Macaca fascicularis: one gene and its partners. The protein of the gene in region 2 purifies or fractionates together with the protein of the main gene of each other region. This does not show direct contact. Links are inferred from orthologs where the notes say so. Each region holds a gene or a part of one and is shown on either strand. Other genes may lie near its edges.

The links.
Region 1: the proteins of STIP1 (region 2) and BAG2 purify together in Homo sapiens (affinity purification with mass spectrometry; 3 studies listed by BioGRID and IntAct, with this or other methods). This does not show direct contact. The link is inferred for Macaca fascicularis from reciprocal best matches to the Homo sapiens genes STIP1 and BAG2.
Region 3: the proteins of STIP1 (region 2) and HNRNPDL fractionate together in Homo sapiens (co-fractionation; 3 studies listed by BioGRID, with this or other methods). This does not show direct contact. The link is inferred for Macaca fascicularis from reciprocal best matches to the Homo sapiens genes STIP1 and HNRNPDL.
Region 4: the proteins of STIP1 (region 2) and CCDC117 purify together in Homo sapiens (affinity purification with mass spectrometry; 5 studies listed by BioGRID and IntAct, counting the BioPlex papers as one, with this or other methods). This does not show direct contact. The link is inferred for Macaca fascicularis from reciprocal best matches to the Homo sapiens genes STIP1 and CCDC117.

The regions. Positions count from the first base shown.
Region 1 is NC_088378.1:114,544,493-114,552,457, reverse strand, and holds the start of BAG2 (BAG family molecular chaperone regulator 2), read left to right. Parts: upstream 1-3,369; 5' UTR 3,370-3,743; coding exon 3,744-3,856; intron 3,857-3,906; exon of another isoform or gene 3,907-5,453; intron 5,454-6,492; exon of another isoform or gene 6,493-6,865; intron 6,866-7,965. UniProt on the Homo sapiens protein: Co-chaperone for HSP70 and HSC70 chaperone proteins. Acts as a nucleotide-exchange factor (NEF) promoting the release of ADP from the HSP70 and HSC70 proteins thereby triggering client/substrate protein release.
Region 2 is NC_088388.1:10,208,558-10,216,736, forward strand, and holds the start of STIP1 (stress-induced-phosphoprotein 1), read right to left. Parts: upstream 4,983-8,179; 5' UTR 4,925-4,982; coding exon 4,916-4,924; intron 4,782-4,915; exon of another isoform or gene 4,667-4,781; intron 4,022-4,666; exon of another isoform or gene 3,822-4,021; intron 93-3,821; exon of another isoform or gene 1-92. UniProt on the Homo sapiens protein: Acts as a co-chaperone for HSP90AA1. Mediates the association of the molecular chaperones HSPA8/HSC70 and HSP90.
Region 3 is NC_088379.1:51,442,270-51,449,662, forward strand, and holds the end of HNRNPDL (heterogeneous nuclear ribonucleoprotein D-like), read left to right. Parts: 5' UTR 1-484; coding exon 485-927; intron 928-1,724; coding exon 1,725-1,893; intron 1,894-1,991; coding exon 1,992-2,153; intron 2,154-2,625; coding exon 2,626-2,757; intron 2,758-2,926; coding exon 2,927-3,041; intron 3,042-3,593; coding exon 3,594-3,764; intron 3,765-4,105; coding exon 4,106-4,176; 3' UTR 4,177-4,198; intron 4,199-4,564; exon of another isoform or gene 4,565-5,351; 3' UTR 5,352-5,607; downstream 5,608-7,393. UniProt on the Homo sapiens protein: Acts as a transcriptional regulator. Promotes transcription repression. Promotes transcription activation in differentiated myotubes. Binds to double- and single-stranded DNA sequences. Binds to the transcription suppressor CATR sequence of the COX5B promoter.
Region 4 is NC_088384.1:22,881,521-22,888,339, reverse strand, and holds part of CCDC117 (coiled-coil domain-containing protein 117), read left to right. Parts: intron 1-1,354; coding exon 1,355-1,492; intron 1,493-3,635; coding exon 3,636-3,873; 3' UTR 3,874-6,819. UniProt on the Homo sapiens protein: Facilitates DNA repair, cell cycle progression, and cell proliferation through its interaction with CIAO2B.

The DNA of each region.
Region 1 (7,965 bases), on a different chromosome or scaffold from region 2:
GCTTAGACTTTTATGTGACTTGTATGATCTCCTGTTTAAAGGGAATGGTGTCAAAATATTTGCATAAAATTATTTTTCATAATACTAGTCCTTTTTTATATATTTGTGTAAACATAATATCTTCAAGAAATAATGTTGAAAGCCTACTCAGGAATAATCTTCCTTAACTCTTTAAAATTTTTATTTCATATAGAATGTCTTCAGTTTAGTTATTCACTGAATTGTCAGTTTCCTTCATTTGGTATTACATATTTAATTCTTAAATATTGAGGCCCCATTGTGAGTAATACAAAATACGACATAAGTAGAAGACTAAGAAGGGCTTGTCATATGATCTTTGTGTATATGCTTCATGTTATTTGACCAGAAATGTCTTATCTCTAAAAATTTTTAGTAGTAATTATTTACCAAACTTAAAAACATTTCCATAAATATAAAGCTTTCCTTTATATTTAAGACAAAATATAAAGGCTAGAATTTTGTTCCTTCTCTGTAACACTAAATATTTTAGTGTGAAAGTGAATTTTTTTATTACTATAGTCTTTTCAATCTACAAGTTGTGTTTTTAATTTCTTGATATGTCACTTCTGTTCCTCCCTGCTTGCATTTTTTTAAAAGTAGACATTGTGGCTTGAGAATTTATCAATCATCTTTCCAAAATGACCACATTTTGCTTTTAGTTTGTATGGTTAAGTGGTCAAGCAAGGCTCTAGGAGATAGTCACTGAGCTGGACCTTAAACACATCTGCGGGAGCTCACAAAATAGTGAGGAGCAAAAGAGGCATTCCAGAAAGATGAGTGGTTAAGCAGATGTGGGGGCAGGGCAAGAGGAGACAGCTCCTTGTTGCCAGAGATTCTACACAAAGGTGTCATGGACACTGATGCTCTATTAAGAAGCTTTTGTGGTGTGTGTGGTAGAGAATAAGGCTTTTGATATAACAGGAAAGGGATATTTCATCATGACTCTTAAGAAAAGGTAACTGGGTTGTTTAATGTTTTAATTGATAATTGTCACTGATTGTATTTCTACCTGTTAAATAATTAAAAATCATCTTAAAATTCATACTTTGGCTTTAATTTAGACAAAAGGAGATGTAATCGCTGTGTAACATTAGAGAAAGTTATATGGATTATCATCAAAAGTAAATGTTTCTAACATTGACAAAGATGCTTATCTTTTCATTACATCATTCACTCATTAATTCATTCAGTCACAAAATATTTATTGAGTACCAACCATGTGCCAGCAACTATTCTAAGCACTTGGAATATACCAGTAAGCAAAACAAAGCCCTTTACCCCTCTGTGGAGCACACATTGGTGGAGAGAAGGAGATTGTACAATGTTAGTAAGCAAGCAAATAAAACTGCATATCTGATGGTGATACATGTAACGAAGGAAAATGAAGGGAAGGGAATAAATAGTGCAGGGACAGGGAGTTGCAGGGAGGCTTGCTATTTTTAATAGGGTGGTCAGAAAAGATCTCACTGATAGGTAAACTTGAGCAAAAACCTGAAGAAGGTGAGGGAATGAGGATGAAAATATATATAGGGAAGAGAGTTCCAGGTGGAGGAGGGGAAGGTCCAGACAGGAGCTTAGTATATTCAAGGAAAAGCAGGAAGACTAGTATCACTGAGAGGATGAGCTAAGAGAGTAATAGGAAATGAACTTGAGGTTTTTCTAATGACCTTGGCTTTTACTCCGAGGTAAGGAGCGATTGAAGGTTTCTGAGAATAAATGGTATGATCTGCCTAATTTAGGATTGCTGTAGTTGCTGCACTGAGATAACATGTACATGAGAGGCAAGAGTAGAAGCACGGAGACCAGAGAGGAAGGTATTGTAGTACTTCAGATACTAACTTACCAGGTAGCATGAACCAGAATGGTGGCGGTAGAATTGGGAAGAATCTGGATATATTCTGAAGGTAAAATTAATGGGATTTACTAATGAGGTGGATCTAGGATATGAGAGAAAAAGAGTTCAGGATGATTCTAAAGTCACTTGATAGACTTTCAAACCACTCACAAAATGTGTTTTGTTTTCGTTTGTGTCATGATAAAGTATTTTTAATAAGGTCAAATAATCCCCTACCCCAAGAGTTAATTAGGATTTAGAATGAGTTCAGAGGGAATTGGGATCCAGCCTTAAGGGCTTCAACTCTGTTCAAGTATTTAAATGACTTTGATCTCTGATTAAAGGTGCTGGTTCAGCTTTAGACTATTATTATCTATCATTTTCTGTGCCGTGTACATTAACATCCTTGCAGTGAGAGGCATAGAGCTATCAGGAGAGGGGACCAAAACCTAACTTTTTAAGTAGACTAATCTTTGTATCCTCAGCTCTATTCCATCTTTTACCGACAGCTGGTGCCTGACCTAGAGGCCTACTGCATCTTTTTGTTAACATTAAAAGTTGGCCTGGCGCGGTGGCTCAAGCCTGTAATCCCAGCACTTTGGGAGGCCGAGACGGGTGGATCACGAGGTCAGGAGATCGAGACCATCCTGGCTAACACGGTGAAACCCCGTCTCTACTAAAAAATACAAAAAACTACCCGGGCGTGGTGGCGGGTGCCTGTAGTCCCAGCTACTTGTGAGGCTGAGGCAGGAGAATGGCGTGAACCCGGGAGGCGGAGCTTGCAGTGAGCTGAGATCCGGCCACTGCACTCCAGCCTGGGCCACAGAGCGAGACTCGGTCTCAAAAAAAAAAAAAAAAAAAAAAAATTAAAAGTTGAGGACTTCTTAATGCCAATTATTTCACTCAGAATATTTATTTATTTATTTAGACAAGGTATCGTTCTGTTGCCCAGGCTGGAGTGCAGTGGCGAGATCTCGGCTCACTCAACAGGAATAATTTTAATAGCAAAAATTAAAAACTCCTTCATTAAGCCGGGCGTGGTGGTTCACACCTGTAATCCTTAGAATGATAAAAATGAAGTAAATTCACTTTGTTTCCTACATCTACCTAGATAGGGAAAGATGGAGTAGCTTTTTCTTTTTTACTTAATAGCTTCAGCGTTGTCCGGGCATTCGTTACTCTCATCTTAGTATAAAGTGGTAACAGGAAGGTCAGGTGAGTGTGGGCTGCCTAGGAGCTGCACTTAACTGCCTTCTGTTTCACAAAAGGACCTTTTCTCCCTATATCACAGGACCCTTAATGTCGTTGTTCTTGCTTTGAATTATGGGTGCTGGAAGAAACTAAACGAAGCCATCACTGAGCAATACACCCACAACCCATCGACCGATAGGAACCTTCGTGTGGGGGAAGTTGGTTACTTTTAGGCTGCACGAAGAGGCGGGGCCACGCGGGGCGGAGCTGGGGGTGGTCTGTGGGTCCGGGCGGGCTTCGGGTAGTTCCTGGGTCCGAGGAGCAGACGATCCGCTGGCCACATTAGGCGCTCAGTCTCTGCGTCTGCCCCTCCCCGTGCCTCAGAGACTTGCGCTCCCCAGGCCCGAGCCCCTATCGGCCCATCCTCGAGCCCCTGTGGCCCGCGAACCTCTTAATTCCAGCCGCTGCAGCCCCCTCCCAGGCCCGGCGTCCCCGAGCCCCGCGGGCGCCGCGCCTGCCCTTCTTTGGCCACGCGGCAGCCGCGGTGTCGGCGAGTCCTCCCGGGTTGCCCCCGCGGGCGTCAGAGGGAGGGCGGGCGCCCGCGTGGTGACGGCGACGCCTGCAGCCCGAGGAGCGCTCCACTCGCCGCCGCCGGAGGGGCCGGTGACCTCTCGGCTGCCCCGCGTCGGAGGCTTAGATGGCTCAGGCGAAGATCAACGCTAAAGCCAACGAGGGGCGCTTCTGCCGCTCCTCCTCCATGGCCGACCGCTCCAGCCGCCTGCTGGAGAGCCTGGACCAGCTGGAGCTCAGGTGAGCCGCGGGCGGGCGGGCGGTCTCGGGCGTTCTGCTCGCCGCGCGGGCGGTTAGCGGACGGAGGCCGCGTGTGGCGGGCCGGGCCCTGGGGCACAGTGAGGCTGCGGCAACAGAAGTTGCTTGTTGAGATTTGTTGTGGATGGACGTGGTGTAGTTTTGTTTATTTCTTGGATTTTCTCCCCTTGTCCAAGAGAAAACGCATTGTAAGCTAAACCTGTGAGGGCGTGATGGTGGCCACACTTTGATTAACTTACCTAGGTGTTGGGGAGCAGGAAAAAGAGGAGATAAAAGTTAAGAGGTGAGATTCCATGCGATTAACGACTGTGGCAGCGTGGGTCTGCAGAGCTTCTAGAACCTTCTGTGTGGCCCCAAATGTTTTTAACTTACTCTTCTCCCGTCATACATTTTTAAGGGAGGCAGCAGTTTACAGTGGCCCTCCACGTGAAGTTAAGTTTCCTTGCTTCAGAACACTTAAAAGAGCAAAAATGAATAAAACAAAACCAACCCAGCAATCCATTGAGACCAAAGATTAGAGAGGAGTGAGGGGTAGGCAGTAAGTTACCGGGTGCTTCGTGCAGTAAAGACGTTGCGGCTTCTCTTTATCCCCTGACCTGGCGGACGGGATTCCGCGGTTCCGTTTGTCTCTCAGTATTTATTGGGCACCTCCCTACATAGAAGACGAAGTGTTAGTCACTGGCCTGAAAGTATGAAAAGATAGTTTTCCCTTTTTCTTGCTTAAGATTTTATTAGGTAATATAGTAGTAGACTTGTACAGAATTTCTAAACAATATAATGTTAATAGATTTTTGGAAAGACTTTAACGGTATATTGAAAAGTTTTATCTACTTCCTGTGAACGTTTGTCTCAAGTTACTGTGTAAATTTTGTGAGCAACTGTAGTTAAAAGAAAACCTTGTTAGGCACCTGGAATTCCCTGAAACTGTACACAGGAGTTGGTTCCATAGTTTTCTCTAGGTTGTGCATGAGCAAAGAAGCATGTGAGCCAAAAAGTTCAGGAAACACTGCATGTGTGTTTTATCTCCCTCCATTAATACACCCAAATATGAAGTGTCCGTTTGCCGAGAAAATACTTCAAAACCACGGCATCTCTTTTAACAAGTAAGGCATTATTATTGTTACTATTGGGAGAAAAGAGCCAGAGAGTGAGAGATTCTCCGCTCAAAATAATTTCTTGGATGGCAGCAGAGAAACCTAAGCCCTACACGAGGTTCTGGGGTTCCACTCAGAATGAGGCAAGTGGAAGAGAGAAATAATGCTTCCTCATGGATTTTCACAATACTAGCAAACCTGACCCGTTCCACTCCCAGAAAAAGTAAAGCGCAAGTAGAAATTGGTGGCCTCAGTTACTGGAAGTCCCTCTAACTGATGTTTCTTTTTAGGGAGCCGCATAACAAGTAACACACCTCTCTCCATGTCTTCAGAACGTTGAGGGCATGTTCTCAACCACTTCACTCGCTCTCCCCTAGTTAGAAAGAAAAGATTTTTTCCTAAAGGAATGGGTAGGATGTTACTCCACCCCGCCTTCCTTCAAGCTGAGTCATTGTCCTCAAACTTGAATTAATGCCTCACATGTGGTAGGTACAAAAGCCCTCTGAAGTGCTCCTCTTAAAAAGAAAGCCTCAGGTTTTGAATATTATTATATTCTAATGTTTGATTAATGTAAAATGAATTCTGATTACTGCACATCAGTGATTAAATTACAACTTGCTTAATTAACATTTGAGCTGAGGAGAAAAGTGATTAATATGTGGCTGTTCATTTCAAGGACTTTTTTTAGTAATTCTAGACTTTTGTAGGCCTTTTTTTTCTTTTTAAAAAAGTAATACTAGCTGAAAAGGAAGGATTTCCTAAGGTAAGCAAAAATAGAGAAAAATGCTAACATTGATCCTATTAAAGTGTTTTTTTGAAACCACATGGGCAATGGCATAGAACACTACACTATTAAAAACTAGAATCATGCGTACAAGATCGATTTTTAAATGAAAACATGAAACTCATATGTAATTTTGCTCTAATAGTTTGATTTTATGTTAACTAATAAAGTAGTGTAACTGGGTAGAATAAAACCTTACCGTTTGTACTTAGAAGTGTGCACGTAATGTTCCCTAACCACATCATCCTGTCAATTGTGGAAGAAATTTCATACTTCATGACCTGGAGTATGAACTGATCTACATGATTAAAATGTTTGGCAGCAGTTCTACAAACTGTTAAAGGATTTCCATTTATCTCTAATGGAATTTATCAGTACACTAGCCCTTTTTTTAGACTGCATTTTGTCTTCTGTATTTCTTCCTTCTACAGAGGTGATTCCCTTTTCTCCCTGTTTTTATGATCAATTCTAAATGGAGTCTGAGTTTTGCATTCCTCAGTGGCTCAAACCATCTTGCTTATTGTTACTTTTTAACAATTATTGTAATTTATAAAAAATACTATATTACAATTTTATATATATATATATATATATATATATATATATAATGTTTTCATCCACAGTTCCTGGCTCATAACTCCCATAACCCTTGTGACAGTCTTACGTTATAATGTTGGGGTGCTTTAGGCCTCAGGAAAAAGTATCTCTGTCTGACCTTCTTTCGCCTGCCTTGTTTCTAGTCTGATTGTGGGTCAAAAGACCCTCATTCCAGAGAGGGTCCTGTCCCATGCCCTGGAGGAAGGAATTCAACACCCAGAGGCCAAGAAGAATCTGAATAGACTGGTCTTGTGTTAGAGTGAGAGCATACCCATTTTGTCCAGTCACATTTCTACATGGTTATCATTCATGCTTATATAATGAAGCAAGCCTCCCTAAGAACCCGAAAGGACAGGGTTTGGAGAGCTTCCAGATAGTTGGACATGTGGAGGCTCCTGGAAGGTGATGTGCCCAGGGACGGCATGGAAGCTTTGTGCCCCTTACTCCTTGTACCTCACGCTACACATCTCTTCATCCATGTCCTTTGTAATACCCTTTATAATAAACTGGTACATATAAGTAAGTGTTTCCCTGAATTTTGTGAGCTGCTCCAGCAAGTTAAACCCAAAGAGGGGGACATGGGAACCCCAATTTGAAGCCAGTTGGTCGGAAGTTCTGGAGGCCTAGACTTGCAGCGGTGGGGAGTGGGGTCTTGGGGACTGAGCCTTCAACTTGTGGAATCTGACACTGTCCAGGTGTAGATAGTACTGGAACTGAGTTGGAGGATACTTAGCTGCTGTCCACTGCTTGTTGGTGGGGAAAATCCCCCACATATTTGGTCACAGTAGTCTTCTGTGTTGTTACAGTGTGAGAGCAGAGGAAAAACACAGTGTGAAAGTCTTTTCTAAAACACATGCTATTGTTTATTCATTTAATGTACATGGACTATATGCCAGGCCCCATGTCTTTGTGGAAGTTACTATTATCACCATTCTACAGATAGGGAAACTGACGCTTAGAAGCTTAAATGACTTGTCCAAAGTCACACAACTAGAAAGCAGTAAACTCCACATTTGAACCCAGGAAGCCTGGCTCTCCAGGCTCTAATACTTTATGCCTGAATTTTCTTAAATATGTCACATTTCAAAATGTAGGAATGATATATGGATGAATAGATGAGTTTCCTCAAAGAGATAAAAATTCAATCTAAATTGGCCTTAAATTCAGGGGCTACTGAACACCCACTATGTGCTAGGTATTGGGTAGCTCATAGAAAGCTCAAGATGGTAATGAAGATGTTTGGGAGATGGGTTTTGGAGACTGGCAGGGGGGAAAATCATAGGACTGGGAGATTGGGTTGTTACGTGTTTCCCAAAACTTATGACATAGTGGCTCCTTCTGCCTTCCTGTCATTCTTTCGTTGTGGCTTAACCTGCACCCAGGTAGTGAAGGGCTGGGGTCGGGGGTGATAGGGATCATTCGTCTGGCTTAAAGTTTCATGTTAGGGTGTGCCTGTGTTCCAGGAGTCACAAAACAAGATGGCATCATAGTTAATATCGTATAACAGCCTGTAATTTAAAAGAACGCTTAATATACGTTGTTATTTGAAACTTTAAAAACTCTTTGAGTTAGGTGGAGGGCACATGCTCTCTCTCCTAGAAAGGAGGGAAGTGGGG
Region 2 (8,179 bases):
ACAGCCTTGTGTGTGATCTTTCTGCCCTCCCCAAGTTTGCATTAGACATTAAAGTTTACTTTTTAATAAAAAAAAAAAGAAAAAGAAAAAAAGTGAGGCAGGCCTTGGCCCTGTCTTAACAGGGTCCTCACTAAAGGGTTTCTCCTCACTGAGCTGCCCCACAAAAGGCCAGGCGCCCCACAGCAGCCTACCTGAGGGCAGGCAGCCCCTCGAGAAGCTCCTTCATTTATTCATCTTATTATTATTTTTTGAGACAGAGTCTTGCTCTGTCCCCAGACTGGAGTGCAGTGGCACGATCTCGGCTTACTGCAACCTCTGCCTCCCGGGTTCAAGCGATTCTCCTGCCTCAGCCTCCCGAGTAGCTGGGATTACAGGCTCCCGCCACCACGCCTGGCTAATTTTTGTATTTTTAGTAGAGATGGGGTTTCACCATGTTGGCCAGGCTGGTCTTGAACTCCTGACCTCATAATCCGCCCATCTCAGCCTCCCAAAGTACTGGGATTACAGGCGTGAGCCACCGCGCCCGGCCATATATATACATATCTATGTATTTTTTAAAGACAGTATCTCACTTTGTCACCCAGCCTGGAGTGCAGTGGCATGATCACAGCTGGCTGTAACCTTCAACTCCTGGACTCAAGCAATCCTCCTGACTCAGCCTTTTTTCTTTCTTTCGTTCTTTTTTTTTTGAGATGGAGTTCCACTCTGGTTGCCCAGGCTAGAGTGCAATAGTGCGATCTCACCTCACCACAACCTCTGCCTCCCAGGTTCAAGCGAGTCTCCTGCCTCAGCCTCCTGAGTAGCTGGGATTACAGGCATGCACCACCACCACCATCCATCTAATTTTGTATTTTTAGTAGAGACAGGGTTTCTCCACGTTGGTCAGGCTGGTCTTGAACTCCTGGCCTCAGGTGATCTGCCCGCCTTGGCCTCCCAAAGTGCTGGGATTACACGTGTGAGCCACTGCGCCCGACCAACTCAGCCTTTTAAGTAGCTGGGACTACAGGTGTATGTCACTACGCCTGGCTAAATGTTTTTCTCTTTCTGTGGTAGAGATGGTGTCTCTCCATATTGCCCAGGCTTGTATCAAACTCTTGGCCTAAAGCAACCCTCCTGCCTCAGTCTCCCAAAGGTGAGCCACCACACCAGACCAAAATATACCTTTAAGAGGTAAACGTTCTGTGAGATAGTTATGTCACCCAAGTTACTAACTCATTCTATGTATTATCCACTCACGACCCAGTAAATTGATGCAAGAAATAATTTTGTTAAGAGAAATGATTTTAGGCTGTAATCTCAGCACTTTGAGAAGCCAAGGCGGGTGGATCATCTGAGGTCAGCAGTTCGAGACCAGCCTGGCCAACATGGTGAAATCCCGTCTCTACTAAAAATACAAAAATTAGCCCGATGTGGTGGTGCATGCCTGCAGTCTCAGCTACCCAGCAGTCTGAGGCAGAAGAATCACCTGAACCTGGGAGTCGGAGGTTGCAGTGAGCCGAGATGGCGCCACTGCATTCTTACCTGGGGGACAGAGTGAGACTCTATCTGGGGGGGGGAAAAAAAAGAAAGAAATGATTTTGGAATCCTGAAATACATCAGGAACTTCCATCAATCAGAGACATTACAGAGGCACAGGCAGAAGGAACCTGCCAAATTAAGCAAACAAGGGATAAAAAATCCTAGAGCCCAAGATGGAGGGCAGAAGACAAAGAGTTAACAAAACTCAAGTGGTGTCAAGAGGCAGCTGGTGAAGTTCTTGCCTATGCTTTAAAAAAGCATTTTTCAAACAGAGTACTGATCAACAGTGGGTCAGGAAATCAATTTTGTAGGTCATGACCAGCATTTTAAGAGACCAAGTGGGACAAAAAATACCAGCACACAGGGCACATAACAGTAAATACTGTTTTGCTGAATGTGTTACATGGCTGGATGCCTGTGTTGGGTTAAATGTAAGAAGTATATCATTGCAGGATTTATTTGAAAGGCCCCTATTGAAAAAAAAGACAAGCTTGAACATTCAAAATCTGTCCAACTTGTTTTTTTTCTGGAGACAGAGTCTCACTGTCATCCAGGCTGGAGGGCAGTGGAGCAATGTTGGCCCGCTGCAACCTCCACCAGCCGGCTTCAAGCAACTGTCCTGCCTCAGCCTCCCATGTAGCTGGGACCACAGGTGCACGCCTCGATGCTCACCTAATTTTTTTTTTTTTTTTTTGAGAGAGAGTCTTGCTCTGTCACCCAGGCTGGAGTGCAGTGGCACAATCTCGGCTCACTGCAAGGTCCGCCTCCTGGGTTTAAGCGATTCTCCTGCCTCAGCCTCCCAAGTAGCTGGGACTACAGGAGTATGCCACCACGCCCAGCTAATTTTTGTATTTTTAATAGAGACACGGTTTCACCATATTGGCCAGGCTGGTTTCGAACTCCTGACCTCATGATCCACCCGCCTTGGCCTCCCAAAGTGCTGGGATTACAGGCGTGAGCCACCGCCCCCGGGGCGATTTTTTATTTTTTATTTTTTTTAAATTTTTACTACAGATGGGGTTTCACAATGCTGGACAGGTTGGTCTCAACCTGACCTCATGATCCACCCACCTCCGCCTCCCAAAGTGCTGGGATTACAAGTGTGAGCCACCGCACCCAGACCAACTTGAGTATTTTCTAAACTGAAATACAAACCTCACAGTTGAAAATGAAAACAAAGTCTTGTTTATTTTCAGGAATGGCTTCCAGATGGTGGGCTCAAACACACCTGGGGTTAAATGCCAGGTCATCTGTACAGTCGCCATGTCAGTTTGCTGTCCTAAGTCAAATATTCATTCACCATCTATCTATCTGCACATACACTTCTACCATGGGTGGTGGTGATTTAAAAACAAACATTTTAAGACCAGGCAAAGTGACTCACGCTTGTAATCCTAGTGCTCATGCAGTGGGAGGCCAAGGCTGAAGGATAGCTTGAGCCTAGAAATTCGAGACCAGCCTGGGAAACATAGCAAAACCTCTGTCTCTACAAAAAATTTAAAAATTAGCCAGTTGTGGTGGCGTGTGGTTAGCTACTCAGGAGGCTGAGGCAGGAGGATCGCTTGAGGCCAGGAATTTGATGCTGCAGTGAGCTATGATCCCACCAGTGCACTTCAGCCTGGGCCACAGAACCAGACCCTGTCTCTAAAAAATAAAAAATAAATTTGGTAACAGCAGAAAGAGGTCCTTTCTCTTTTTTTCAAGACGGAGTCTCACTCTGTCGCCCAGACTAGAGTGTGGTGGCACAATCACAGCTCACTGCAACCTACGCCTCCAGGGGTGAAGCGATTCCCCTGCCTCAGCCTCCCCAGTAGCTGGGATTATTGGCATGCGCCACCATGCCCCGCTAATTTTTGTACGTTTATTACAGAGGGGGTTTCACCATGTTGGCCAGGCTGGTCTCGAACTCCTGACCTCTGGTGATTCGCCCGCTTTGGCTTCCCAAAGTGCTGGGGATTATACGTGCGAGCTACTGCACCCAGCCGAGATCCTTTCTTAAAAGTAAAAGAGCAATGTCTTATTCCAGAAAATTTTTCCTCACCTATAATACAGCCCATTTAATCCTAGACACAACTGAAGCATTATATGGGCACAAAAAGTTTATTAACTTCATTTCCACTCTTTTTAATACAGCAAGGAAGCTCGAGCTTTGCCTAAAGCAGCAACTGCTACAAGAGACCAAAGGCTCAGCTCTGGAACTCCACCAAAAAAAGGGTGGTAGTCACTAGTCCATCGAGATGTCTTACTTAAGGGGAGCGTGTGGGCAATCTTAGTTTTATGGATCTGAAGTAAGAACCAAATACCAGGTATAGTTTCAGAACTGTCACCCCGAAGTGTTATGGGCCCGGAGCGACGAGGGTAGTACTCTCGAGCAGATGATTTCTCAGATGTTGGTAGAGGTTTCTCGGAGGTTGTTTTGTTCTTTTTCTTCCGATGAATCATTATAGCTCAATGACAGCTTCCAATGGAACAAAATCTCTAGGCCTTTCACAACCACAAGCTACTGAGGACATAACCAAGTCACTGAAAGGAAGCAGCAGCCGCTTCAAACTCTGCCCCCCAAATGCTCAACAGAGGCCCATAACTTCTAGCGGTTAATCTCTGCAAATTGTCTACAACCGCCCCAGTGTAGCTAGAAATCCACCTTTCGGAAGTGTCGGTCCTCGGTCACTCGACAATCACACACACGCATACAAAAAGAGGGGGAGGGGCCGCAATACATTTGTAAACCACTGTCAGAGATGGAATTCGTTCCAAGGACTTTTGCGGCACCCTTCCCTTTACTGCATCAGCTACACTCGCTCTGTAGCTCCTCAAATCCCCGCTCAACGCTCTCCCACCCTCACATTCTCAGATGCAGAAGAGTAAGATTTGCCCCAACTGGATCTCAGGCTGCTAAGACCCAGTGTATTCCCGTCCCCGCTCCCTGGATCCGTCCAAGTTCCTCGTGGCTAAGTCCGAGCGGTTTCTCCGTCGGCTGTCTCAGATCTCCCGGAGCGCTACCTCGCGGGTGCCGACCCCGGCCCCTGGCCTAACTCCACCCCGCCCTCTGCGGCCCGCACCCTCCCCAGCATAGCCTGCAGCAGCCCCTTCGGGACACCTTCAGGGCCCGGTCGCGGCCCCTCTTCCCGCCGCCGGCCGGACTCACCCAAGCTGTGGCCTCCTCCCGGCCCTCTTCGCCCAACCAAGGGGCGATGGGCGCTCCCCGCGGCCGGCCTCTACAGATCCCGCTCCCGCCCGCCGCCCGCGGCCCTCGCCTCCCCGCCGCCGCCCCGTCCGGCTCCAGCACCCAGCTCCGGTCGCCCAGATCTGGCACCCGCCCCGCCCCCTACCGCGGGCCTGGCCTCCGCCGGTCCCCGAGCGGTCTCGGGGCCTCAGCCCGCCCCTCCCCCTTCACCTGCTCCATAGCGCAGCGCGGCCCGGAACCCCGTTGAATCGAATCCGTCCGCTCCGCGATCCCAACCGCACGCGCCGCCTTCTGGAACCTACTAGAAGCTGCCGGGACCCCGGCTCCCGCCCCTTCCTCGCCTGCTCACTGGTCGAGTACTTCTAGGGGGCTCTCTGTGCTGTTCTACTACTGGCTTGAGGTCCAGCCCATCATCTCCACTTCCCTCTCATTGGACAGCGGGGAGTGATTCCCTCAACCCTGCCTCCCCCGCACCTCAGGATTGGACGCCGCTCTATAAACCCACCCATCTCAGGCTGCACGAACGGAGGGAGGAGCGGACTTCTGCGACACAGATTGGTCTTTTGCTCTGCCAATCGTAGCCGCGCTGGCCGCGCCCATTGGTTCCGTTCGTTCTGGAAATTTCCACCTCTCCCATTGGGCTGCCGGACTCCAAGTCGGAACCGCCTTCAGAATGAGAGCGATTCCAATTGGGCGGAGGGTTGCCAACCCTCTGCGCTGATTGGTTTAAATCGCTGCCTTTCAAAAGGCTGGGTTTCGCCCCGCCCGTGGCATATGGCAGTCTCGGCCGTAGTCCGGTACTGTAGCCGTGTCTCCGGCGGCTGCGGTGCCTGTGGGTTACTTTCCATCTGGATCCCTAGTGCCGCGAGTTCCAGGCGGTCCCCGGGATCGCCAGCGGCACAGGGCCCCAGCCTTTCGCCCACGCATCGAGATGGAGGTCCTAGCCGGTCGCGCTGCGTGGTCCTCGACCGCCAGTTGCGCGCGTTGTTCAGCGCTGCGGCCTCGGCCTGGCCCTCCTGCATTCTGGCTGTTAGGTTCCAGAAATGCCACGTGACCGCGAGGGCGCTTGGGCTTGGGCTGGACAGGCAGGGGATCTCATCGCGGCGGGTGCGGCTGTTCTGCTGGGCGTCCTCAGTGGAACCGCACACCCTCTCTGAGTCGTTTGGTCCTGTAGGGCCGAGGGGAATTCGTGCGGTGTTTAGCACGCGGAAAGTACTTAGCGAAAGGGAGCTGTCCCCCAGCCCTCGTGAGTCCGATGTAAAGGAGTGAAAGAGACGAAGAGCTGAATCAGGTAGTTAACCGCCTATGAGCTGGCTAACTGTGGCCTGGTAGAGCCTTAAATCCCAGCCCCAGAAGTCAGAGTCAGGGCAGGCACCCCAAAGCGTGGAAGAGATGCACCTGCGGAGTGAAAATGCTGCTATTGCTTCTAGAGTCAGCTGTGGTTCCTGGAACAAAGGAGCCGCATGACTCGGGTCTGGCAATGGTCTTGGGCTCTGCAGTGTCCTCATCCTTCCCCCTCTCTGGGTAATGCCATCTTCCCAGGGTTTAAAGTGTGTCCTCTCTGCCAATAGCTTGTCTCCACAGCCTCATCTTTAATCCCACCTGCCCCACCCATTTTGGACACTGCAGCCAAGTTGCTGCAGACCTGCAAACCTGGTAATCCCTCACTTGAAAGTGCTGAAGGCTTTAGGGTGGGATTCAGGGCCTGTGTAATCCAACCGCCTGCTTTTTTTTTTTTTTTTTTTTTTTTTTTGAGACGGAGTTGAGTCTCACTGTCTCCAGGCTGAAGTGCAGTGGCGCCATCACAGCTCCCTGCAGCCTGGACCTCCTGAGCTCAAGCCATCCTCCCACCTCAGCCTCTCAAGTACCTGGGGTTACAGGCAGGCACCACTACGCCTAGCTAATTTTTCTGTTTTTTTTTATAGACGGATTTCTTCGTGTTGTCCAGGCTAGTCTTAAACTCCTGCTCTGTCTCTCAGGCTAGAGTGCAGTGGGGCGATCTCGGCTCCCTGCAACCTCTGCCTCCCCGGTTCAAGCAATTATCCTGCCTCAGTCTCCCAAGTAGCTAGGATTACATGTGTGCGCTACCACGCCCGGCTAATTTTTTAATTTTTAGTAGAGACGGGGTTTCCCCATGTTGACCAGGCTGGTCTCAGACTCCTGACCTCAAGTGATCCGCCCGCCTCGGCCTCCCAGTGCTGGGTTTACAGACCCAGCACTTCGCCCTGCGGTTTTGCATTTTCAATAGTGAGGCATGGTGAGAAAAGACTTAAAGAAAGCAAGGGAGTGAGATCCTTGGAAATGTGGGGGAGAACTTTGCAGGCCCATGGAACAGCCAGTGCAAAGGCCCTGGGATGGGAGCTGCCTCGGGGTAGCCAGGATGGCAGGAGGCACAGCTGCCGAGAGGAAGTAGGGGCCAGGTCCTGCAGGGTTAGAGGCCATTGCCACTCCCGAACACATTGGCAGGTTTTGAGCAGAGGAGTGTCATGATCTTAAGTTTTCTCAGGATCCCTCTGGCTGCTGTGTGGAGGAAGAGGGGAGAGTGAGAGCAGGGTTACCTCTTAGGAGGCTGTGGCAGTAATCCCAGGGAGCCAGGATGAGAGCAGAGGAGGGGACAGGAATAGGATTCTGGATGCATTTTGGAGGGAGCATGAAGGAAAGCGGGGTCAAGGGTTCCTCTGAGGCCTTGGCCTCCTCTCTTATTCATCTACATCCAATCTGTCAAGGACACCTTTCATTTCTTCTTGGCACTGTCTCCAGGCCACCACACGTGCCCACCTGACCAGCAGTGGCCTTTCCAAGCCTTCCATCTTCTCCCCAGCAGCTTCTCTCCGAATGGCCAGGTCCCATTTCCCACACACCTTTTTTTAGAGTGTGTTGCACTGCTCTGGGTGCAGGGCTGTAGCAGTGACCAGGGCAGCCCCAGATGAAGCTTCTGCTCACAGGGACCTTTTCTACTGAAAGATGATACCTAAACTCTCAGCTGTGTGATGTTAAGCAATTTGCACAACCTGTCTGTACTTCAGTTGCCTCCATCTTCAAATGGGGATTAAAAAGTGTTGACATCATAGTGGTTGTGAGGATTACATGATTTGATATTCATAAAGCACTTAGAACTTGTCAAGAAGAGGGCCTGGGGATCGCCTGAGGTCAGGAGTTCGAGACCACCCTGGCCAACATGGAGAAACCTCATCTCTGCTAAAAATACAAAAACTAACCAGGTGTGGTGGTGCACTCCTGTAGTCCCAGCTACTCTGCGGGCTGAGGCAGGAGAACCACTTCAACCCGGGAAGCGGAGGTTGCTGTGAGCCAAGATTATGCCACTGCACTCCAGTCTGGGCAACAGAGCAAGACTCTGTCTCCAAAGAAAAAAAAAACAGTGCCTGGCTACGGAATAAGAACTACATGGATTTATTAAATCAAAATCAGTGCACAAATGATAATTCTCAAGAGTGAGTGCTACAGAGAACACAA
Region 3 (7,393 bases), on a different chromosome or scaffold from region 2:
CGCCCCCTCGGCCCGCGCGCCCGTGGCCACAGCGGAAGAGACGCCCGCGCTGCGCTGTCCGGAGGGGCCGTCGCGCGCCCGCTTCCTGTTCGGCTGGTTCCTGCCAGCTCGAGGACAAAACACGCGTGCGCGCGGCGGGCGAGCGCGCTCGCCGCCTCAGTTGCCAGCGCCGGGCGCAGTCCGCCTTTTTCCGGAGTAGCCCGGCCGCGGTGCTAGTCGGTAGCAGCGGCCGCCGCAGCGGCTCCGCACTGGCGAACCGAGGGCAGAAAAAGGCGGGGTTCACGGCTCTTTGGTAGGAGTGGGCTGGACCGGACGCCAGAGACAAAGGCTCCCAAGGCAAGAGGGACTGTGGCCTTGCGTCGGCTCTGTTCGGGACTGCTGACCCCAGGACTTTACGCCCCTTCGTTTTTCTCTTCTGATTCTTCTCTTCTCCCAAGCCCGCGTCCCCTCACGCGTGGCCTCTCTCCTTGCCGGGAGGGCCGCGATGGAGGTCCCGCCCCGGCTTTCCCATGTGCCGCCGCCATTGTTCCCCTCCGCTCCCGCTACTTTAGCCTCCCGCAGCCTCTCCCATTGGCGGCCGCGGGCGCCGCGGCAGCTAGCCCCGCTCCTCCCTTCACTCGCTCCCAGCTCCGCCCGGCAGGGGGCGCGCCGGGCCCAGCGCCACGTCACCGCCCAGCAGCCCTCCCGATTGGCGGGCGGGGCGACTATAAAGGGAGGGCGCAGGCGGCGCCCGGATCTCTTCCGCCGCCATTTTAAATCCAGCTCCATACAACGCTCCGCCGCCGCTGCTGCCGCGACCCGGACTGCGCGCCAGCACCCCCCTGCCAACAGCTCCGCCACTATGGAGGATATGAACGAGTACAGCAACATAGAAGAATTCGCAGAGGGGTCCAAGATAAACGCGAGCAAGAATCAGCAGGATGACGGGTACCGCACGCTTCTTCCCCCGCTCCCCCTCCCCCAGCGCGCCGCACGCGCCCTTCGTCCCTCGTGAGCCGCGCGCTGCCCCCATTCTTTCTCAGAGTCGATTCCCCGCGTGCCCTCTGGGCCCCACTAGCTTGGAGGGAAGAGGAAAGTAAGAGATCGAGGGGGTGACTGGAGAGACCCGGGAAGAGTGGGGGAAGGGCGGAGGGGTTGGAGGAGGAGGGCGGCGGCGTCTCTGTCCCGAGCGCGCAGGCGCCGCGTGGGACCCGGGGGGGAGGGGCCGGCCTCCCAGCGCCGCTCGCTGCAGCTGCCGACGCCTCTTCATTGTGTCTCTGTTACCACTCGGCGCGGTTTTCCTGGGAAGAGTTTTAGAGGACTCTGAGTTCGGGCACAAGCAGGCGACTGGTACCCAGATTCACAAAACGTATTATGATTGATGAGTTCTCTGGGTGGAACGTTGGCTTGACAGCTGAGGACGAGGATGGACCTAAGATAAGATGTGAGGGATTCATCTAGGAAGTTGGGCCTTGTAGCTGAAGCAATCTGGGCAGAACCTTTACTATATTTTATTGGTCTCCTTTGAGTTTTGCTTTATGTAGTGCGGAGAGCGAGCTGTCCGCTGGTTTGAGTAACTTTGTTGGGATATTGGGATTTTTGTGTGACATAGATTAAATGTAAACATGGATTAAATTGCTTACACTTAGGGGATAAATGTTCCTGTTTTTATTCTACGATTTAATTCCAGAACTGAAGGATCATTTGAGTTACTGTTAATTTTTTAAAAAACCTTTTATTTCTAGTAAAATGTTTATTGGAGGCTTGAGCTGGGATACAAGCAAAAAAGATCTGACAGAGTATTTGTCTCGATTTGGGGAAGTTGTAGACTGCACAATTAAAACAGATCCAGTCACTGGGAGATCAAGAGGATTTGGATTTGTGCTTTTCAAAGATGCTGCTAGTGTTGATAAGGTAGGAACTGTGTTTTGCATTGTGCTGCTTTTGTAGTGTTTTGCACATTTTTCTGGGGGTTATATGCTGCTGTCAGATTAAATAAATCTGTCTTGTAGGTTTTGGAACTGAAAGAACACAAACTGGATGGCAAATTGATAGATCCCAAAAGGGCCAAAGCTTTAAAAGGGAAAGAACCCCCCAAAAAGGTTTTTGTGGGTGGATTGAGCCCGGATACTTCTGAAGAACAAATTAAAGAATATTTTGGAGCCTTTGGAGAGGTGTGTGATTATGTTTACACATGTTAAGCTTGATGTGTTTATAAAATGTTTAATCCTGGTCCGATTTATACAGGGCAGATTCATGTTTCGTGTGAGGGTAGGATTAAATGACTGCTCAAGTCGCTTCCAGGGACTGTACCTTGATTTGATTGCTGCTCTGATGGAAACCCAACTATCTTAATTTAGCCAAAACATGGGCACTTAAATGTGGTCGGTGTTTGGACTTGTTAGTTAGTGGCATCTTTGGGGTACAAAATAATATTAAAGGATGTTTTACTTTTCTCTCAATGCTTCAAATATACAACAAATCACTGAAGGCTGATGTTGATCATAAAGCAGTGATGTCTGTATAGAAGTCACCTGATAAGAATAACATGTTTAAGTTGAAGCCTGAAAAGTACCTGTGGCATTCTGACACTCTGGTAGCATTTTATAATTATGGGATGACCTTGAGTGTGCATCTCGATTTCAGATTGAAAATATTGAACTTCCCATGGATACAAAAACAAATGAGAGAAGAGGATTTTGTTTTATCACATACACCGATGAAGAGCCAGTAAAAAAATTGTTAGAAAGCAGATACCATCAAATTGGTTCTGGGAAGGTAAAGCCATTTAAGTACTTTAAATGAAAATTTTAAGGATTTCTTTTTTCTTTTTTTTTTTTTATCTTTTAGTTTTTGAAATTTCTCAATGTGTTTGAGAAAAATAAAATGATTAAATTTTAGAACTTGAGTAAAAATTCTATTTTCGTGTTTTTTAATTTGTTTATAGTGTGAAATCAAAGTTGCACAACCCAAAGAGGTATATAGGCAGCAACAGCAACAACAAAAAGGTGGAAGAGGTGCTGCGGCTGGTGGCCGAGGTGGTACGAGGGGTCGTGGCCGAGGTGAGACTTAATTCTTGGAATATGACTCCATGGTTTAAGCTGTATACTGCTAAATATGAGTAGTCCTGTACGAAACTAAAACTTTAAACTTAAAACAATTCCAGCGGGAGGAAAATGTTCAGCTTAGTGGGGGTTGTGTGTGGTGGTTTTTGTTGTGAGCTCACTGGTTTCAAAAAACTGTTAAAAGTATGGCCATTTTGACAATTAGTGTCATCACTGACAGGAAAAGTGTACCATTACATGATGCGCCATGGCGTGATGGGTTTTCTTGGGCAGGAGTCCTTGTTTTAAACAGAACAGTATACCTGTCTTCAGCTTTAATGGAAAATTGAATGATTTTCCATTAAATTTAGGAAGTTTGATACTGGCACAATTGGACTTTCTGCCCCCCTTTTTTAATAACAGCTGGAAGAATAGTTTTTCAAGCAGATAGTGCTATATATGTCCATTCTGCCCTTTAAGATTTGCAGAGTGAGAGACAAGAACGCATCATTTTATGTTAGAATTGGGGGTCAGAAGTTGTTTCCTAACAATCATTGTGCATTGTTTCAGGTCAGGGCCAAAACTGGAACCAAGGATTTAATAACTATTATGATCAAGGATATGGAAATTACAATAGTGCCTATGGTGGTGATCAAAACTATAGTGGCTATGGCGGATATGATTATACTGGGTATAACTATGGGAACTATGGATATGGACAGGGATATGCAGACTACAGTGGTAAGAATATTTAACTTAATTTTATAAACCAGTGGTATTAAAATTCATTGTTAACATACAATCCTGTTCTGAAATTGTGTGTACGGGCTTTCTGTTTGGAGTTAAGTGTTTGAGGCATGTTACAATCATAGGGTGATTATACTAACATAGTCTGGTGGTTATAAATGAACTAGGATGTATGATTTACGACTAGCTTATAATGGGTGTTAAAATATCTTAATATTTTAATACTTTTTATTTAGCATGCAAAGATTTGTAGATTTAATCATTTCTCAGTGTGTTTGTAAAGAAACAGTTTTGTAGAAAACTATCTTAATGAAATTTCTGTGTTTTCAAAATAGGTCAACAGAGCACTTATGGCAAGGCATCTCGAGGGGGTGGCAATCACCAAAACAATTACCAGCCATACTAAAGGAGAACATTGGAGAAAACAGGTGTGTATAAGAGTACAGGAAAACAGTAGAAATGTCTAATTTAATTTAAAGATCAATAGACAAACGTAAAAACAAAATACTATGTAGCTTGTTCTTACTAAATTGTTGATTTTTTTTAATTGCTTTATGAGCCTGTTTTGCCTAAAGTGTCTATAGATCTTTAACTTTAAAGTCTTATCTCACTTTCTTTAGTATTGCAGAAAAACTTAAGAGTTTTTCTGTTTGCTTTTGTGTACCAGGTGGTCTAGAGGAATAATTAAACATTTTAGAACTATTAACAGGTAAAGTACTGAAATGGGTACAACTTAAGGAAAACAAGAATGTTGTCTTCTAACTCTGACATTATACCTTGTTTGTACCCGCCAGCGGGAACTTCATTGCAGGCCGTGTGTCACCCTGACCACGTCTATCTCTGGGGGTCGCACGTTGCGGGCAGAGCGCAAGGCATACACCAGAAAACGCTGTCCTGTGGTATGGTCTCTTCCAACTTCATGTACCAGCGTAAAGATTAAAGTGGAAAACTTCAGACTTTGGCTTCTTTTTTAATCTTTTTGGAGATTAAGTGTCTAAACTTAACTTAAATGGTTTTTTACAGGAGTTAAAATACATAAATGCCTTTTTACAGCTTAATCATTTTGGTCTTCTGTTTAGTGTTGTATTTCAATTGTGGAGCCTCATTTTAAGTGTTCATTCTTTTAAGATTTAATGCTTGCTTTTTCTTTTTATAGCTAATAGTGAAATCTACAAACCAAAACAAGAACTTTTAAATCTGGGATATAAATTAAAGATCATATGCACAATTCAATTTATGTTCTTGTAATAAGCTTATTAGAAATTGGTGTTTGTGATAGCATTTTACTTGGGTTACTAGAGATGCTTCTAGTAGACCTTAATCTAGCATAGTTGAACCTGTGAATATGGGAAGATTGTATTCCCAGATTCTTTCCTGAATAGATTTGAATTTATTATTATTTGGGAACTCCAGGGTGAGTTTATTGACTAACCAAACTGTATTTTGCCAATAAATATGCATATGATCTTTAATTATTGAAGAAAAGAATAAAGTGAGGACTTAAAACAGTTCATGAAAGTGGACCTTTAAAAGCTTGTCAGAGTTGCACAAATCTAATTGGTATTTTGTTTTTGTTTTTAGGAGGAGATGTTAAAGTAACCCATCTTGCAGGACGACATTGAAGATTGGTCTTCTGTTGATCTAAGATGATTATTTTGTAAAAGACTTTCTAGTGTACAAGACACGATTGTGTCCAACTGTATATAGCTGCCAATTAGTTTTCTTTGTTTTTACTTTGTCCTTTGCTATCTGTGTTATGACTCAATGTGGATTTGTTTATACACATTTTATTTGTATCATTTCATGTTAAACTTCAAATAAATGCTTCCTTATGTGATTGCTTTTTTGCGTCAGGTACTACATAGCTCTGTAAAAATGTAATTTAAAATAAGCAATAATTAAGGCACAGTTGATTTTGTAGAGAGTATTGGTTCATACGGAGAAACTGTGGTCCTTTATAAATAGCCAGCCAGCATCACCCTCTTCCCCAATTTGTAGGTGTATTCTATGCTCTTAAGGCTTCATCTTCTCCCTGTTAAGTGAGGTTTCTACCACACCTTTGAACAATGTTCTTTCCCCTCTGGTTATCTGAAGACTGTCCTGAGAGGAAGACGTAAGTGTTGTGATTAGTAGAAGCTTTCTAGTAGACCATGTTTCTTCTGGATTGTAATAAAATTGTTAGCTCCTTTTACTTTGTGCCTGTCTCTGGAAAGCCATTTTTGAATCGCTAATTACTTTGGCTTTAATCAGTGGTCACCTGGTAAAAGCTTTGTAATCATAACACAATCACTTAATTCTTGATAAAAATTCAGATGCACACAGGAGCACTGTAAAACTGGTAGGATCTATGGTTTAAGAGCATTTAAAGTAGTTATAACTCAAGGATTTTGGTAGAAAGGTATGAGTGTGGTCAAAAGTTAGATTAAAATTTGAAATAGTGGCAAAAGATTTAGTTGTGTTGTTTTCTCGCAGTCACCACAAGATTGAACAACATGTTTTCTGTTTGGGCATTCTGAGGAAATTGTATTACAGTTAGCTATTAATGCTGTGTGAGTTTAGAAAAAGTCTTGATAGTAAATCTAGTTTTTAACAGTGCATGAACTGAGTAGTTAGACATTTCCATATTCAGACATAGGAATAGTGGAAAAGGTATCTTAGGTGTGTCAATCCAAATGTGACTTGAGTCATTACAGTGGACCCTCTGGGTGCACTGAAAAGCCGTTTTATATCCAGGTTTGAGAAGACCTGGAATAAATAAAAGCTTTGAATTTTGCATTCAGTGTAGTTGGATTTTGGGACCTTTGCCTCAGTGTTAGCTACTGGGATTGGCAGATGTGTTCACAGGCAGAGTAGTTGATCTCACACGGGTGATCTCACAAAACGTGTTTCTTATGCTGATGAGCCCCTTTTTTTTTTTTTTTTTTAATTTGGTGCTTACAACTTGGTTACAATGATTATACTTCTTGGGCTATCACGTTATAATGCTCTTGGCCTTTTTTTGCTGCTGTTTTGCTATTTGTTCTCACACACACCTAGGCCAAGTACCAGTGTTGGTTGTTAGAAGGGATTCTGTTCATTCAACATGCAACTTTAGGGAATGGAAGGAAGTTCATTTTTAGGTTGTGTTGTCAGGTGCAGTGTCTAGGGTAGTGAATCCTGTAAGTTCAAATTTATGATTAGGTGACAAGTTGACATTGAGATTGTCCTTTTCCCTGATCAAAAAATGAATAAAGGCTTTTTAAACAAAATCCAAACTTAATCAAGTCTTGATATGTATGACTGAGAAAAAATATATTACATCTAGAGATGATTGAGATGTTTTACAAACAATTGAAGGGGGAGTAAGAATTCACTTGATTTTTCTTGCAGGGGCTTTGAACTCTAGATTTAATTAAGATTTCAGGGCCCATCAGTTCACCAACTGATGCAAATTTGAATAGATACTCTTAGGCTAAGTGTCCTAGGTTGGATGAACTGTGAAGCTAGTATCAAGATCTCATTCCCAAACATTAATTTAGAACAAAGTAATTGGACAAGTTTATTGGGGAGGGGATAGAAATGAATTCTTCTGAAGTACCTATAACAAACAAATACTCGGTTTGTATATGTTTTCATACATTGTA
Region 4 (6,819 bases), on a different chromosome or scaffold from region 2:
GGTTGGAGTGCAGTGGCTCACTGCAGTCTTGACCTTTCAGGCTCAACACATCTGCCCCCCTCAGCCTCCCGAGTAGCTGGGACTGCAAGCATGCACCGCCACCCCTGGCTAATCTTTGTGTCTTTTATAGAGATGGGATTTCACCATGTTGCCCAAGCTGGTCATGCATTCTTGGGCTCAAGCAAGCCGCCTGCCTCAGCCTCCCAAAGTGCTGGGATTACAGGCGTGAGCTACTGTGCTGGGCCAGTATACTGTAGCCTTTTTTTTTTTTTTGAAACAATCTCGCTCTGTCGCCCAGGCTGGAGTGCAATGACACCATCTCAGCTCACTGCAACCTCTGCCTCCCAGGTTCAAGCAATTCACTTGCCTCAGCCTCCTGAGTAACTGGGATTACAGGTGTCTGCCACCACACCTGGCTAATTATTTTTGTATTTTTATTTTTATTTTTGGAGACAGAGTCTCGCTGTGTCGCTTAGGCTGGAGTGCAGTGGTGTGATCTTGGCTCATTGCGATCTCCGCCTCCCAGGTTCAAGCAATTCTCCTGCCTCAATCTCCTGAGTAGCTGGGATTACAGGTGCCTGCCATCACACTTGGCTAATTTTGTATTTTTAGTAAAGACAGAGTTTCACCATATTGGCCAGGCTGGTCTCGAACTCCTGGCCTCAGGTTATCTGCCCATCTCGGCTTCTCAAGTGCTGGGATTACAGGCATGAGGCACCGTGCCCAGCCATGAAGTATGTGCTTTTAAAGTGAATTCTCATAGAACTGCTAAGTGTTTTCACTTACTGTCTCTGAATATTAATTTTGGTTTATGTGATAATTCTCTGAAAAACATTCAGATTTGATTATATGTAAAACTTTTTTGTTAAATGTTGAACAACCCCCTGAGTATAGGTTTTTTTGTTTCGAGACGGAGTCTTGCTCTGTTGCTCAGGCTGGTGTAGAATGGCACAATCTTGGTTCACTGCAACCTCCACCTCCTGGGTTCAAGTGATTCTCCTGCCTCAGCCTCCTGAGTAGCTGAATTACAGGGATGTGTCACCACACCCGACAAATTTTTGTATTTTTAGTAGAGATGGGATTTCACCATGTTGGCCAGGCTCTTCTCCAAATCCTAACCTCAGGTTATCTGCCCGCCTCAGCCTCCCAAAGTGCTGGGATTACAGGTGTGAGCTGCCACGCCCAGCCTGAGTATACCTTTTATACTCAGGTATAGCCTCATTTTTTGCTTAGTCTATTGCTGTATTACTTACTGCTTTTATCCTTTTGTATTTTTAAAATTTTGTCTAAATACTAGAATATATAATAGCTTGTCTAAATATTTTTTCTTCTGCTGATGCCTTAATTGATTTAGGATAATTGATGAAGATGAAGAAGTTGAAGCTGACAGAAATGTTAACCATCTCCCCAGTCTTGTCCTTTCTGATACCATGAAAACAGGTTTGAAGAGGGAATTTGATGAAGTTTTTACAAAGAAAATGATTGAGTCTATGTAAGTTTTGGTACCTGATTTCTATTTATTTATGATCTTGCAGGGAAAACCCAGTGTCTAGATTCTGCCCATCCTGTCCTCGTCAGCTCTTTTTATCTCCTGATCACCAGGCAATCGGAGATTGGCTTTTTCCTAGTTCATTGGGTTGAGCAAAGTGCTTTATAAGCAGAAGTTTGAAGTATGGGGAAGTGGCTGCCTTGCCTACTTACTCTTTCGTTCCTTTGAAGACCTAAAATGGACTGTAGTCTGCTATTTGGAAATGGGATGACTGGCAAGAGAGCCCACTCTCTCAAGTTCTTGTGATAGGATATAGGAACCACATTTCAAAGGCTCCTGTTTACCCGGCTTTCTAAATTACCCAGGAACAACATTGAGGCCTAGGAAACAAAAAAAAAGTGGCCCATCAGTGAAAGTAGTTACTGCAAAGACTGCAAAACAAAGCTCATATTCTTGGCTCATTAGCATAGTCCTTCCAGGCCTTTAGCAGAGCTGTTTTGCTTTTAATCTAAACACAGTTTATGAGCTCAGTTATCTGGTTTCCTAGATCATCAGAGTAGAAGCAGAAACAGCAAATGAGAGCAGAACAAACAAAACTTCTAACAGGGAGCTGTGACTACACTGTGAGGACAAGAGAGGAACCTGGAAAGCAAACACAATAACCTAAAAAGTAAAGTGGCCTGGGGCCTGTGAGTAATGATTAGCCCAGCCCTGTAATCCTGTAGTCCCTGAAGCCTCCATGATCTCAAATTGTCATTATTAACTATGTAAAATAGTAGGGAAGTTGGTTATAAAGTGCCATTTAGGTATTGCCTAGGAAAGACTTTAGATGGAGTTGGTACCCAATGAGGGCAAGTTTCAGGTATCTGAAAAAACCTCTTAGGACACCAGTCTCAGTGAGGCCAGATAGATGAGGCATTATTACCTTTGGATACAGGGGAGATGATTTGTGCTAGAAGTTCAGCTGCTATTTGGTCTTATCACAGAGGTTTTGCATTAGGGTCCTATCTTGAGCTTATAATTAACTACCCAGCCCTAAGGGTGGGTAAATAGCCATAAGTAAGCTGGTCACGTTACCCTCCAGCCTAAAACATAGCACTTTCTGCTTTTGGTAGTTTTCCAGAAGCTAGCCTTTGGGGGTATTTCATTGTTTTGTTTTATTTTTGCTTCCTCTTTGGGCCCAGACACCATCGCTGCCACAGTGTGTGTATAACATAGTCATTTTGCCTTAACCGTGAAGCTTGTTTTGTTTTGCTTTGTTTTGTGTTTTGAGACAGGGTCTCACTCTCACCCAGGCTGGAGTGTAGTGTGGCATGATCACAGTTCACCACAGACTTGACCTCCCGGGCTCAGGTGATCCTCCCACCTCAGCCTCCCGAGTAGCTGGGACTACAGGCACCCAGCTAATTTTTGTATTTTTTGTAGAGACAGGGTTCACCACATTGCCCGGGCTGGTTGCAAACTCCTGGGCTCAAACCGTCTGCCTGGCTCGGCCTCCCAAAGTGATAGGATTATAGGCACAAGCCACCATGCCTGACCCATAAAGCATTATACTTTGTACCTGTACTAAAAGGCACCTGAGATACTTTCAGCATGTTTGTCCAGTGTTTCCTTTTCATTTATAATGATTTAGTATAAGCTAGCTGCCTATATCTAATATTAACCACAGTTTTAAAAAATTTCTAGCAATCAAGGGCTCTGTGTTTTCACATTGGATTTTTAGATACTTCCCATCACAGCATCATTACATCCACTTGATTTGGTTAGATATACATGTTGAAGTGTGCAGTGTTATGTATTTGAGGGGCGTTTCTAAAGATCAGTTGGAGCCAGGCATGGTGGTAATGTGCCTGTAGTCCTAATTACTGGGAAGGCTAAAGTGGGTAGATTACTTGAGTCCAGGAGTTAAAGGCTGCAGTGAGCTATGACTGTGCCACTGTACTCCACCCTGGACAACACAGCAAGACCCCCATCTCTTTAAAAAAAAAAAAAAAAAAAAGAAAGTAAAGATCAGTTTGTGTGTTCTAAATATCCTGTTTTGCTACCATCAGTCCTTAAGGTATTAGGTAATGTTGGCTTTTCAACCTATAGCTTTTGTTTTCATGTCCTAAAATTTTTTGATAAAAGTCTGTATTTTATGTCTTAGGAGCCGTCCTTCCATGGAGCTTGTTCTCTGGAAACCCCTCCCTGAACTCCTTTCTGATAAGCCAAAGCCATCCTCTAATACTAAGAACTATACAGGAGAGAGCCAAGCTAAGCATGCAGCTGCTGGCACTGCCTTCCCTCAGAGAACTGAACTGTTCTTGGAACCTCGGCAACCAGGGATGTCTCTTTATAATAGTTTGGAGACAGCTACTAGCACAGAAGAAGAGATGGAACTCTAGAAACCAATTTCTACACTAAAGTTGTCAAATGTTAGAAGAATCCTGTGTTCAGTTATGAGACTCTTTGCATAGTATAGGGACTTGAAAGTTTTATGAAACGGGTGTAATAATATCTCCACCTGTGATTTGGGGGTGGGACTCTCATTTTGGGTAGCCATTTATTGACTTCAACTTTTTGCCAAGGAAGTTTGTCTCAAGGGAAAAGCAGTTTTCTGTGGGGCTTATTAAAGGAATGTTGGTTTACAGTTTCTTCGAAGATTACAGCCTCTTCAAAGACAAGTATAGAAGCTGTATGTGTAAGGGTGACTTAAATCATATATCACATTGTCTAAACTATTCAGACACTTGGAGAATATTCTCCTTGAATTCAAAAAAGATGATTAAGAAGGATGCTCCTACTACAGCTGTATCCTGACAGTTAAGTCACAGTTTAGTGTGTAGATATGAGCTGTTTACAGTGGTGCCTATATCTAATTGGGGAGGAGGGAAAAGAGCAGTAGCTTAAGCCTGTTGCTAAGAAATCTAATTTCTTAGCAACTTGTAATTTAGTTATCAATTCAATATAGCTCGTTGATAGCCAGTAGTATTGTGGCTCTCCTCTTTGACTATGAAAATAATAGAGAAAGTTTTTCCTTCAAGGCTTTTTTGCCTTGTGCCACTGTTACTCCTTGGTTTCCCTTGCGTAATTGATAAGCCCAGTTATTCAGTAATGTTTACAAATTAATTGACTTTCAATGATAGTTAAAAGACTGATGTAACCCATCTGCAATTTGCCTATGGGAGAAGCATCCTTTAGTTCATCCTAAGGAAGTGCTTGGTCAACTAAGCCCAGCATTGATAACTTTAGTAATTTTTTAAAAAGTTATACTTGTATTAGCAAGTTTTTTTTTTTTCCCCCACCGCAACCTCCACCTCCCGGGTTCAAGCAATTCTCCTGCCTCACCCTCCTGAGTAGCTGGGATTACAGGTGCCCGCCTCCACGCCCAGCTAATTTTTGTATTTTTAATAGAGACCGGGTTTCGCCATGTTGGCCAGGCTGGTCTCGAACTCCTGACCTCAGGTGATCTGCCCACCCCAGCCTCCCAAAATGCTGGGATTACAGGCGTGAGCCACGGTGCACAGCCAGCAAGTTACTTTTAAATGTTAATTTAGAAAACAGTGAATGATTAGCTGAAAATATATGAGCAGGTGACATTGAGGTTTACTAAAACAGCCAATTTGACTGGTGCTGAGACTTGTGCAGTAAGCCTAAAAGGTAGTGGAGAATTGCTTCCTGCTAGCAGGAAGCCTTCATCTTCTTGAGTACCTAAACCAGGCTTCAGGTGTCCTTTGAGGATAGCCAGGTTTGAAATTTGTAGTTTCTCAGGAAGAGCTCTTCTGTGTGGCAGGGGCTGATAGGGCAAAATAAAATGACAGTTTCTTTATTGCTACAGAGTATCCACTATAAGTTATTAAATGAGTGTAATGGTATAATGCCCTTCCATCACAACAGGACACCACCCCAGTTTTGTTTTCTGGGTTTCTTCCCCCTTTGTAGGAATCAGATACCTTTTATAGAAAAAAAATGGCTTATGCCACATAAAGGTGAATTTTTAGAAACCACCTTCTAGGCGTTTTTGGAACCCTTACTGAAATCCCTCCCCTTGTTACAGATGGCATAGAAGTCACAAGTCTGTTAATTGGACTGTTACTTCTTTGCCTGTTCCTGCTTTCTCTTTCTGTCTGGATAGTCAGGAAAATATTTAATGTTTAATATTTAAACAAAATATTTAATATCTATACAGTAAAATTATTCAAACTTCAAACCAGTATTGAAAGCAGTTGGAAACCAGCTAATAGTTTCTTAATCTCAGATTTCGAGATGAATGTAAACTGTATTCTTTCGAAATGTGCAAGTGTTTGATTCATGCCATTTGATAAACTTCTGCCTTGTAGTCATTGTTTGATGGGACCAACTTGTAAAGTTTGTAGCCTTAAACAAATCTCCATGCTAAAAAATGTGTTCCAGTACAACACAAAAACATGAAGTGACTGCGCAGAGGTAGAGTTAGTGTTTAGGTGGAAAGGAAGATGACAGCTTTCCAAAGAAGGATCTAAAACACACCAAGATTGTCTTCTACAGGAATTGTTGGGCAGGTCTCCGACTAAAGGTCTTACGATGAAAAAAGGAAGAAACGAGCCCCCAACCCAAGGCTCTGATACTACTGGTAAATGTAGGAGAGAATTAAGATTCTGTTAATTAAAATCCAAACAGAGCTTATTTCACTAGTCAAGTTACCTGACGTGATAATTATTTCTGCAGGATAATTGATGTTTTATGTTCTTTTTTGGACTTTATCTTCTTGCATATGTTTCTACAAAAATTGTTTTCTTCATCCTTGTGGTGCTTATTCATCTGAGCCGTCTCCACAGTCCCAATGCCTCTGCTTTTTGTTTTACTTTTGTAGCATAAGGGTTTTGCTTTTGCTTTGCCTTAAGATTTCCCTAGGGAGTTATCAGGGCTTTTCGTTTTGTATAGCTTTTGCAGCATGGATCAAACATTGGCTTACTGTGCTAATGTGTGAAGAGAAAAAATTATCTAAAGCAGGTGAGCTTTAATGAACAAATGTGTATTTTATCTGAGTTTGAGTAGGGTGCGTGTGGTTTTTGTTTTTTGTTTTTGTTTTTGTTTTTTTGTAATATGAAGAAAGTCCAGTTCTCATAAATATTAATCACTTAAAAAACTGCCACTCTTTCTTGAAAAGGTACACATGTAAAATTTAGGAAAATAACTAAGGTAGGGGCAGGAACCATAAGAAGAATGTTTACCAGCATGTTCATGTATTATTTTGGATTTGGAACTTGGCTTTGTTTTTCAAAAGTGACAAGAATGGTTCAGTTCTAGGAATGTTCTGGAAGATGCTGTTAATTTTACTTTAAAATGAGAATCTGGTGTTTCTGTATTTT